Daphnia pulex: one gene and its partner. The protein of the gene in region 2 interacts with the protein of the main gene of each other region in a pairwise test. Links are inferred from orthologs where the notes say so. Each region holds a gene or a part of one and is shown on either strand. Other genes may lie near its edges.

Region 1 (4,606 bases), on a different chromosome or scaffold from region 2:
TGGTTGGCCCATAGGGCACAAATATTCAAATAAACAGTTATCATGCACGCGAATCGTCCGCTGTCAATCCCGAGGATCGTTCATCACTTGTAATCGTCCCCATCCATAACCTTTTCCTGTTGGCTGATTTTTTCCCCCGGCCTTTCGTCTTGTTTTTATATACCCATTCCTCGCTGTTACATTTTCGTTGGAGATAATTACATTTTTTCGTGCGGAAGCGGAAGGGATATGTAGTTAAACCGGACGGGACGGTCCGGAATATGTGCGATACGCTAATTTAGCCGCCGATTTCACGGCGCTTTTGAGACTGTGACGACGGCAACGGCCGTTGGCATTCCCAAACTCTCATGTGTTCAGAGTTGAACGGCTCATCCAGTAGATGTAGTAGTAGCATCTGTGGTTACGCCCAGTTCCTAATGTAAATAAATAAGCTGCGGTCAAAGTCCTCCATTTGTCTTGTTATATTCCAACCGTTCTCGTTCCAGCACCTACATAAAATATGTTGATACATTTTCACTATACAGCGCGCTCGCTGTAGCTAATATTATAGTGCGGATGCTTTATGATATTATATTAGCCCAGCTCCTGAGCTCCTTGCTGGACGGTTCAGTTATTTTAATGCGGGCGATTGCGACCGGGAACAATTGAAGAATAAAGAAACGGTTTTTACCAGAGTAAAAATAATTTGGCTTCCAGACGGTGCCAAAGCTCGTAAAAAAATCGGGCATTTAACAGCAGCGAATCCAAAGCTCTACCTTGGACCTGTATATTTATAACGCATGGTATTCTTTTTTTTTATTTGAAAGTAACTGCAGTTTTGTCGGTCGACAATGAGAAATAAGTTATGTTTCACGTTGAAGGATTATCCTCTTAACAGAAAATTACTATTAGACGATAGACGTCATTATTATTGAAATGCGCACGGACGCTCTCGCCATCTAGGATTCGTGAAGAGAACTCGGTCCCCTAGTTCACGATTGTCACGCAGTGGGTGTATTATATCTCACAGGAATAATGCAACTCTCAAAAACCTTGAAGCAATTTCAGAACAATTGAAATATTGCCAGCACCGTGACGTGCAAAACAACGTGAAGCAACATGTTTTAATGTCCGGTTTTAATCTTTTTTTAAGGCTGATTAACTCCCGAATTATGGTACAGAAATCGACGCGATTTATCGGTGGGGACCATTTTTCTACTTGCTCAATTGCTGGTGTAATGCGATGTGTAATAACGTTTATTTCCAAGAATACAGTGGCCCGATAACTTTCCGTGGTTGAGAAAAGGTTTCGAGTGCGCGCTCCCGTGTTACGTCTACATGACTGGGCATATATAATAATCCACTCTGAAACTGCTCGATATTACCAGACAGGTAGTTCTATGAAGCCGATAAGGGCAGTAAATCAAAACGCAGAGCGGCTGCAGTGTCTTTATCTCTGTCCCTATGAGAGTCCATTAAGAAATTTATTCCCGAGGCTTTTAAAACTATTTGAAATGCCGAGGTTAGGGAGCAGAGTGGAAATCTGACTCTTGCCCGGCGCGCCTGAGATTAGAACCGCTTCCTACTTGTTGATTATGTACGGTTCAGGTGAGTGTGTACCGTAGGAGAGACTAGTCTTCGTTCTGGCTTTCAGTCAACGGCACGTTTTCGTCAGCGGTTAGTCAGTGAGTGGAAAAATACAAAACGCACACCGGACGAAATGCATTTAGATATTAAATATTGGCTGAATTCGTTAAATCTGCTGCAGTACCAGCATCTTTTCGAAGGCTTCCATGGCGTACAGGTAGGCTACATCACTACAACTTGATAAAATCACAGCTGCCTTGTTGACAATGTGACTTATTACGGAAACTAATGGCTATTGATAGGACATCCTCCATCTGGACGAATCGGCCATCATGAATCAGATTGGAATCAAGAACAGCGCTCACCGGGCCAAAATCGTCTCCAGCCTTGTGTTGCTCAGAGCAAAACATAATCTTCGTAAGTGTTTTCAATGGTTTTTAACTAGCGATTTTTTTAAAACAAGTGTTTAAAGGGGAAATAATGTCCAGAAAGTAACAAACAACTTGCTTAATACCGGAAGTGGCCGGTTTTAAAGCGCGTGATTCGTTCAGGGCTTGCGCTCTCGTGCTCACAAGCCCGTCAAACTCACGTCGCGAGCCACTCACCTTGACACGGCACCAATTTTGTATCAATTTCAATTCCCCCCACCTGTGCCTCAGCAAACAAATGTTCTTATCTTCAACGTTACACAGATCGACAAAATCGGGGCCCATTTTCAATGCAGCTCGAAAGATTGCGTGCTGTTTATTAGTTTTGTAATGCGCAAAGCTTTGCTCTGATAATGTTGCCGACATTTCAGAAATGAAATGCACTCGACTCGCCTGATGATATGATTCGCATTCTCTTGATATGATTTCACTTTTTTTATTCTGAAATTCCAGGACTCCGAAAACAAGAGAACCAACCCAGAATTTCGCCGGCTTTTTCTACTTCCTCCGTCGATGACGCCAGCATGGTTAAATTCAGGTGGGTGTCGGAAATCAGTCAAACAGGATGTGTCCGTCGTTGGTCAATGTTTATTTTTGTTTTTTTCTATTATTATTTATTTTATTCCATTGGGCGGACGGGAGTCACGCAAAGACATTTTTGGGAAGGAGAGTAGTATAGTAAGTGCTACGACTACTAGATGTCGCACTATGTCTGTGTATTATGTGTATACGTGAGAAAATAGCGTTCCGTTCCATTGAGCTGGGAGGGGGGGAGGGGAAGCAGTTTGGAGGGCAGACGAGATGAAAATCAATAGCAGCCGGCAAACACACCCCTCCCAACTTTGTTGATGGTATCAATGGAGGGAAACGAGAGGATGCCAGGGGAAACGTATAGCTTTCCACAGTTAGTCTGCTGATACACTATATCTTTCGAAAATCTCAACGAAGCAAGCCAATCGGTTTGGGGGTTCAAACGAGCAGAGCTTTAGAGAACTGTCAAGCATTCGATACATTCGCCCCGGGTGCCTTTTGTACTGAAAAAGATTTTCAGTTTGAAGTTTTATCCTCTGCTGTGAATTAGTCATCATTGAATTCCGATCCGAGGCGAGTGCGTTGGTCGTTCACTGAGAAAAAAGGATCGCCTTTCAACACGACTCAGCTGATTCCCTCCCCTTCTATTGAAAAATAATTTGAAAAAGAAACAAAAAAGTGTTTGATGTGCGCGCAGGTCGCGTTCGGAATTCGCGCAGTCGGCGCACAACAGGAGTCTGCTTCAGCAGCACAGTGCCAGTGTTCTCAACATCTCACAAATGGTAAGTCTTGTAGTATATGTAGACCTAAACTGTTTTATAAACGTTATCCCTTTATTTATATTTGGTCTGGTTTTGTTGACAGCAAGATTACGACAACATTTCCAGCGCAGAAGTGTCGGAAGCTGAGAGCCTTCGCCGCCAGTTGGAATGGGAACTCGGACTGGACGGGCGATGTCTCGAATCTCACGCTTGGTATATACATACATACGCATTGATCGGTCCCAAGGATTTCCCTACCAACTTTCTCCCTTTTGTTGTTGATCTTTTAGGTACCACGGGTCGATTCCCCGGAGCCACGCGGAAAGTTTGCTGAAAAACGATGGCGAATTCCTCATTCGAGATTCTTCGACAGGTCAGCCGGGCGACCTTGTCCTCTCCACCTATTTTGGAGGGCATCTACACTTTATGATTAACAAGGTAAAAAGCTCTTGACAAAAGAATAGGGCGACCCGGCCTCAATCCAGCACTATTTGACCTCATTATTTGTCCTCACTAAATGGACAATCTGTTAGGTGATCATCCAAGCCAACACGGTCTACCAGTCGACTCAATACAAATTGGAAGAGGAGCCGTTCGAAACGATTTCAGATTTGGTGACGTGCTACGTCGGTAGTGGCAAGGCCGTGACGGCCGCCACCGGCGCCAAAATTACAACGCCCATCAATCGAACGAAACCACTTTCGTTGTACTCGAGTCGCTACAGCGTTGACTCGCGATCCTGTCATCCATCATCGGCCAGCAGCGCGAGCCAATACGGTGGCTCGACTAACCTGTACTCCGGCAGGAATCCTCTAACACCTGCGGTGACGGGTCGAGTGCGGATGGTTCACCCGACAGCGCGCGAGTACTCGACGCAATCGCTGCCCCGATCTACACAATCTGCCTCCAATCGAGTGATGATGAGGCGGGGACCCAGTGATCCTTCACTGTCCATCCAGCCAGGGGCGTCACCTGCATGTCCTCCCAAACCCAGCCGGGTCCCGTCGCAGATCTTCCCGCCAGACGTCGACATTCCATCGGGCGACTTGGCTGCTGCTGTTGCTCCTCCTCAGCCTCTCAACCGGATTTCGGAGAGTGCCGGCCAAGATGTTGAAGATGAGAACAACAGTGAAGAAGTTGATGTCTTGCCCCAATTGCCCCAGCTTCCGGCTACTTTGCCACGTAGGAGAGCGGCAGCTGGGAATTTGGCAAAGCGGCCAGTATCCATGACTCGAAACTCCTTCCTGGATCGGCGGAGCTGTGATTTCGACGCCGAAGCCGCATTCAATCAACCGCACCAGTTGATTAGCGATTCGAGCG
Region 2 (4,326 bases):
AACAAAAAAGGATGAAAATGATGATATTTACCAAACAAGGGCCGCTGGCGTCAGTTGGTCGCTCTCAATTTTTAGAGCAAAAGGAAAGACAAAAATTGGCAGCTAAAAAACTGCCGGTCGTATAATCGCTGAGGCATGGCAGATTACCAAAGACGAGTGGCACACACACACACACGAAAGCTTTCACGATATAGACTATAGCAGTACCACCACGTTTCGGGATAGAAATAGCCAGGTCAACTCAACATTTCCTGGAATCCAACTCAAACTTTTTCGGGACTGATTGATTTAGAGGTCTCGGCTATTATTCGCGACGAAATGTTTCATAACGCCAAAAATTTCTTTCGAGGCAGCATTCATTTAAATAATGAAGCTAGCAAGCACGTCTGTCAGAGCTCTATCTCTAGCTTCAAAAAAACATTCCCGAGTTTCCCCAATCTGACGGTTGTCCAATCGTTTGGAATTCATGAAGAATAAAAATGTTTTTTCCAAGTTTCTGGTTGGTCCGTTCAAACGTACACGAATGTTCGTTGCCAGTCACCACATGGCGATGAGAGGTCGTAAGCGGTTTTGGCGCCGCATTCGAAAGTGCCTTGAATGTTTTTTCTTCTTTCCTTTTTGTTGAAGCGCAGCTGGCAATTCATCATCTGCGAGTCTCTTCTCCGGGACTCACGTCGCGACGGTCTCTGGTGGTGGACACGCCGTCTGTGAAACTCGCGTGCCCTGTTTTTATAGTGTTGCCCCGAAAAAGTTTGTTGATTCAGCCGAAATTGGAAGTCACCGACAAACGACATTCTTGTGTGTCACACAACACAACAGCCATCCACCAAGTCGTTTGCAAAAGGACGCAGCAGCACCGTGAGCTGAGCTGGGGAGGACGACCGCAGGACGTGAAAAGAAACTGTAATACTCTCCGACCTTGTGAGTTGTGCAGACCTTTTCCTACGTACACATTAAACATATAAGCAGCTATATACACGACACAATAGCCACTGGTGGTGCTGGTGCTGTGCTTCTGGGATAAATCGTCTCAAACCTGACGAAATTCCATGATATACACGCGACCATAGCAGACACACGGCCATTTTCCTTTTGTCTTCTTCCTGTTGTATCTCTCTTGAACGCAACCAAACAAGAAAAACAATCGCAGTCGGTTGCCAATAAAGGAAAGCACCTTAATTAGCAGCTACAACAACAACCTTGCGTCGCGCAGCTCTAAACCATCTTTTTTTGTTTTTCTTTCTCATTCTTTCGCCATCCTGGAGGTCTTAACAAGGACCGCACTGCGCCGTCCATACTTAATGTTTCGATAGAAAAACCGAAAAACTTTTGTTTTGTTCTTCCGCGGCTTTTTTTTAAAATCTCTGATTCGCAGCGCAGTCCCGATTAAGAAAAAAAGTTTCAATCCGGCAGCAGCCAGCCAGTCTCACAGTGTTCCGCTTCGTTTCTTTTTGGAACCGAATGGAAGAAAAACGGCAGAGTGAAAGAGCGAGAGAGAAGAGAGAGAGAGAGGCGATTTGTTCAAAACTCGGCTCTCCTGCCAATAGCTGCTTCACTCTTCAGCCCACCCGGTAGTGATAACAACACCACTCGTTTCTCTGTGTGAATTGAGTGATAAACAATTTTAAAGTTTTAAATTTAAAAAAGAAAAAAAAAAGGAGAAAACAGCGCATAGTTTTGGGCCGGCCGGACTGGAACACATTTGAACCACTTCACACAGAGTGTAGAAAGCAAAACGAATGGCTACGATGGACGGAAGTAGTGCTGCTGTCCAGACTACCATCGCCAGAGGCAACCAAACTAGCGTCTTCAACAATCAGCAGCAACCGGCTTGTTGGAATGGACTGGTAGCTAAAAATTCTATTCTTACGTATTATATTTTTTGAATGTGTTAAATCAGTTGGAAGAAGATCAGAGATTTTTATATAGGTATTGTAGATATTCAAATATGAGGCATTCCTCACTGTCTTTGGACAGGTTCCCCTTTTTCTCTTTCTACCGTCCGTAACGCCCATTCGTTGAATAATTCGGGAAAAAAGATCCCGCATAAAAAAATGGGCGCTTTGCGCGCGGGACTATATAGAAACAAAAAGTAAAGTGAGAAGCTCCGCGCGGTCCCAAGGTCTATCGTATCATCTAACTTAACCTTTCTTTCTTTTTTATTTGATTTGCTGTTGTACTATAGTGGTGGTGTTGTTTTGTGTTGTTGTGAATATGATTCACGAGCCAGTTTGAATTACTTTGGGACCGTGGAAATCTAAACAGCAACGCCATCGATTATGCACGGAGCTGTGAGATTCTAATCTTTTTAAATCAACAAGCGTTTCATAATATTGCGTATAGCCCTTACACATACATGTTTGTGATGGGTGTGTGCAGTGCACTGCACAGGGAACTCGACACTCGGCGTCCGAGAGAGAGTTTCACATCATATAGAATGCGTTCGGGAGAAATACGCACAGGCACGCAAGTTTAGTCTCGATACACACAATGCGTTATGATTATGGCTGACATTGCCGTGGACTGGCCGGTCCCTCCTCTCAACGCGTTCTTACGTAATAATAAGGGTCTCCCAGTTCGGCAGCATTGAAAGGGGTTAAACAAAAGGAAGGAATAAGATGAGACGAAGGAGAGATTTTCTTTTGAAAAAGATGTGGCGATAAGCTTTCAGGTATTATGATGGAACGCGCGTGCGGGAGAAAAAAGAAGAAAAATCCAGACGGCGCCTCTCGCTCTCGCTAACTCATCTCGTGGTAATTTTGTAGAGAGAAAAAAATAGTTTTCGATAGGCAATAAAGTAAAGATGATAAGGACATGGGGCCAACTGTTCAATTTCTACTTCAGAACTTTTTGAACTGCTGGAATCCCTCCATTACACGAGGCGGTGCTTAGTCGAAAGAAATTTAAACGGCCGGATGAGTGATTTGCGATATGAGCGGCTATTTTCCATCGTACATCAATTTGATGATTCCCCCCCCCCTCAAAATATATAAAAACGAATGAAGAGCATCGCGTTAGATTTCCTTTCAGATATACATTTTGAAAACGACGTTTTACACCTTGAAAAGGGCTTTGGCAGGTGGAGCGCAGGAACATTAAGGTGAATCTTTACTGGGCAGCCGTTCATCAGTCAAGAAGTTAACGATTCCTAGAATAACCTGGACGACCTCCTGTTTTGTTTCTCTAGTTCCTAAATCACGCGATATAAACAGTCCCGAATGTCTCTCTGCGCATATCTAATATAGTCAAAAGTGATTACATACCAAAGGAGATTAGAACTACAATAGCTGCCCCGATCATTTTCAAGGCGAAAGTTTGTGTCACGAAAAGAGAGAAAAGAAAAAACACATTCCGCGACGTGAATAAGCGGCACGTTCGAAGCTTATTTCTGCCAACCGGCGCAAAGCTGAAAAAGTGCATTACATGTGTTATCGCCATTTGGACGCTGTAATAAGATATAAGAGGATGTGAAATTCAAATTCTTATCAAATTTTGAAAAGTTTATGGGGAATTTAAATTTCGACAAAAACAAAAATATTAATTGGATCGTTTTCTTGCCTCTATCCTGCAAATCAATTTTAAGATGACAAATGAACAGTAACTATACAGATGTGACCCGTAAAAACAATTAATTGGACCTATGTTCAAACGTATATCTTAATTGATTACGAACAGTGATAGAGCACATGTTTCATCATCCATGGTTATAAATCTAGTTAGTATTAAATCGGTTTCACAATTTTTTTTTGATTAGGCGCGGTTGGTTAATTAAAATACGATGCCTTCAACAATATGTTGATGAGCAAGTCAGGATTTTAACTAGCCGTCGGATCAATTGATACTGGATTTCCATCCAGAATATAAAAACAAGTACATCCTTACCACCGCTGGTAAAACTCTATGAGGAAACCACTAATTGTAGAATATATTCCTGCCGAATCGCAAAATTTCTTATATACATTCAGTGTTCTCAATTGCGATCATACAGTTCATTATTAAAAAATTGAAAAATACTTATGGAGTGAGTCGTTAAGTCTGTTATAAGATAAGATTGTTGTTATAAGAAAATATGATGTGGAAGTAAATGGGACTGCGTAGTGCGTAGTTTTTGGACGAGAAATTAGAATTTTGACAAAATAAAACAAAAAAAGAACAAAACAAAAGTTCCCTTGCCTCTTTCTAATGCAATCTGATTTGATGTCAAATGAACAATAAGTAATCAGATGTGACGCGTAATAAAATGTTATTGGAGCTATGGTTTAAAGTTTATCTAACTTGATTACAACCAGTGTTTGGATACACATTTAATCATCCTTGCTGTAAGAT

Evidence for each region.
Region 1: the proteins of breast cancer anti-estrogen resistance protein 1-like (region 2) and breast cancer anti-estrogen resistance protein 3 homolog interact in a two-hybrid assay, tested with the Drosophila melanogaster proteins (2 studies listed by BioGRID). The link is inferred for Daphnia pulex from reciprocal best matches to the Drosophila melanogaster genes p130CAS and CG9098.

What each region holds. Positions count from the first base shown.
Region 1 is NC_060017.1:3,549,610-3,554,215, reverse strand, and holds the start of breast cancer anti-estrogen resistance protein 3 homolog, read left to right. Parts: upstream 1-1,501; 5' UTR 1,502-1,699; coding exon 1,700-1,783; intron 1,784-1,868; coding exon 1,869-1,983; intron 1,984-2,447; coding exon 2,448-2,532; intron 2,533-3,222; coding exon 3,223-3,307; intron 3,308-3,389; coding exon 3,390-3,499; intron 3,500-3,576; coding exon 3,577-3,724; intron 3,725-3,819; coding exon 3,820-4,606.
Region 2 is NC_060021.1:6,679,994-6,684,319, forward strand, and holds the start of breast cancer anti-estrogen resistance protein 1-like, read left to right. Parts: upstream 1-1,380; 5' UTR 1,381-1,739; coding exon 1,740-1,847; intron 1,848-4,326.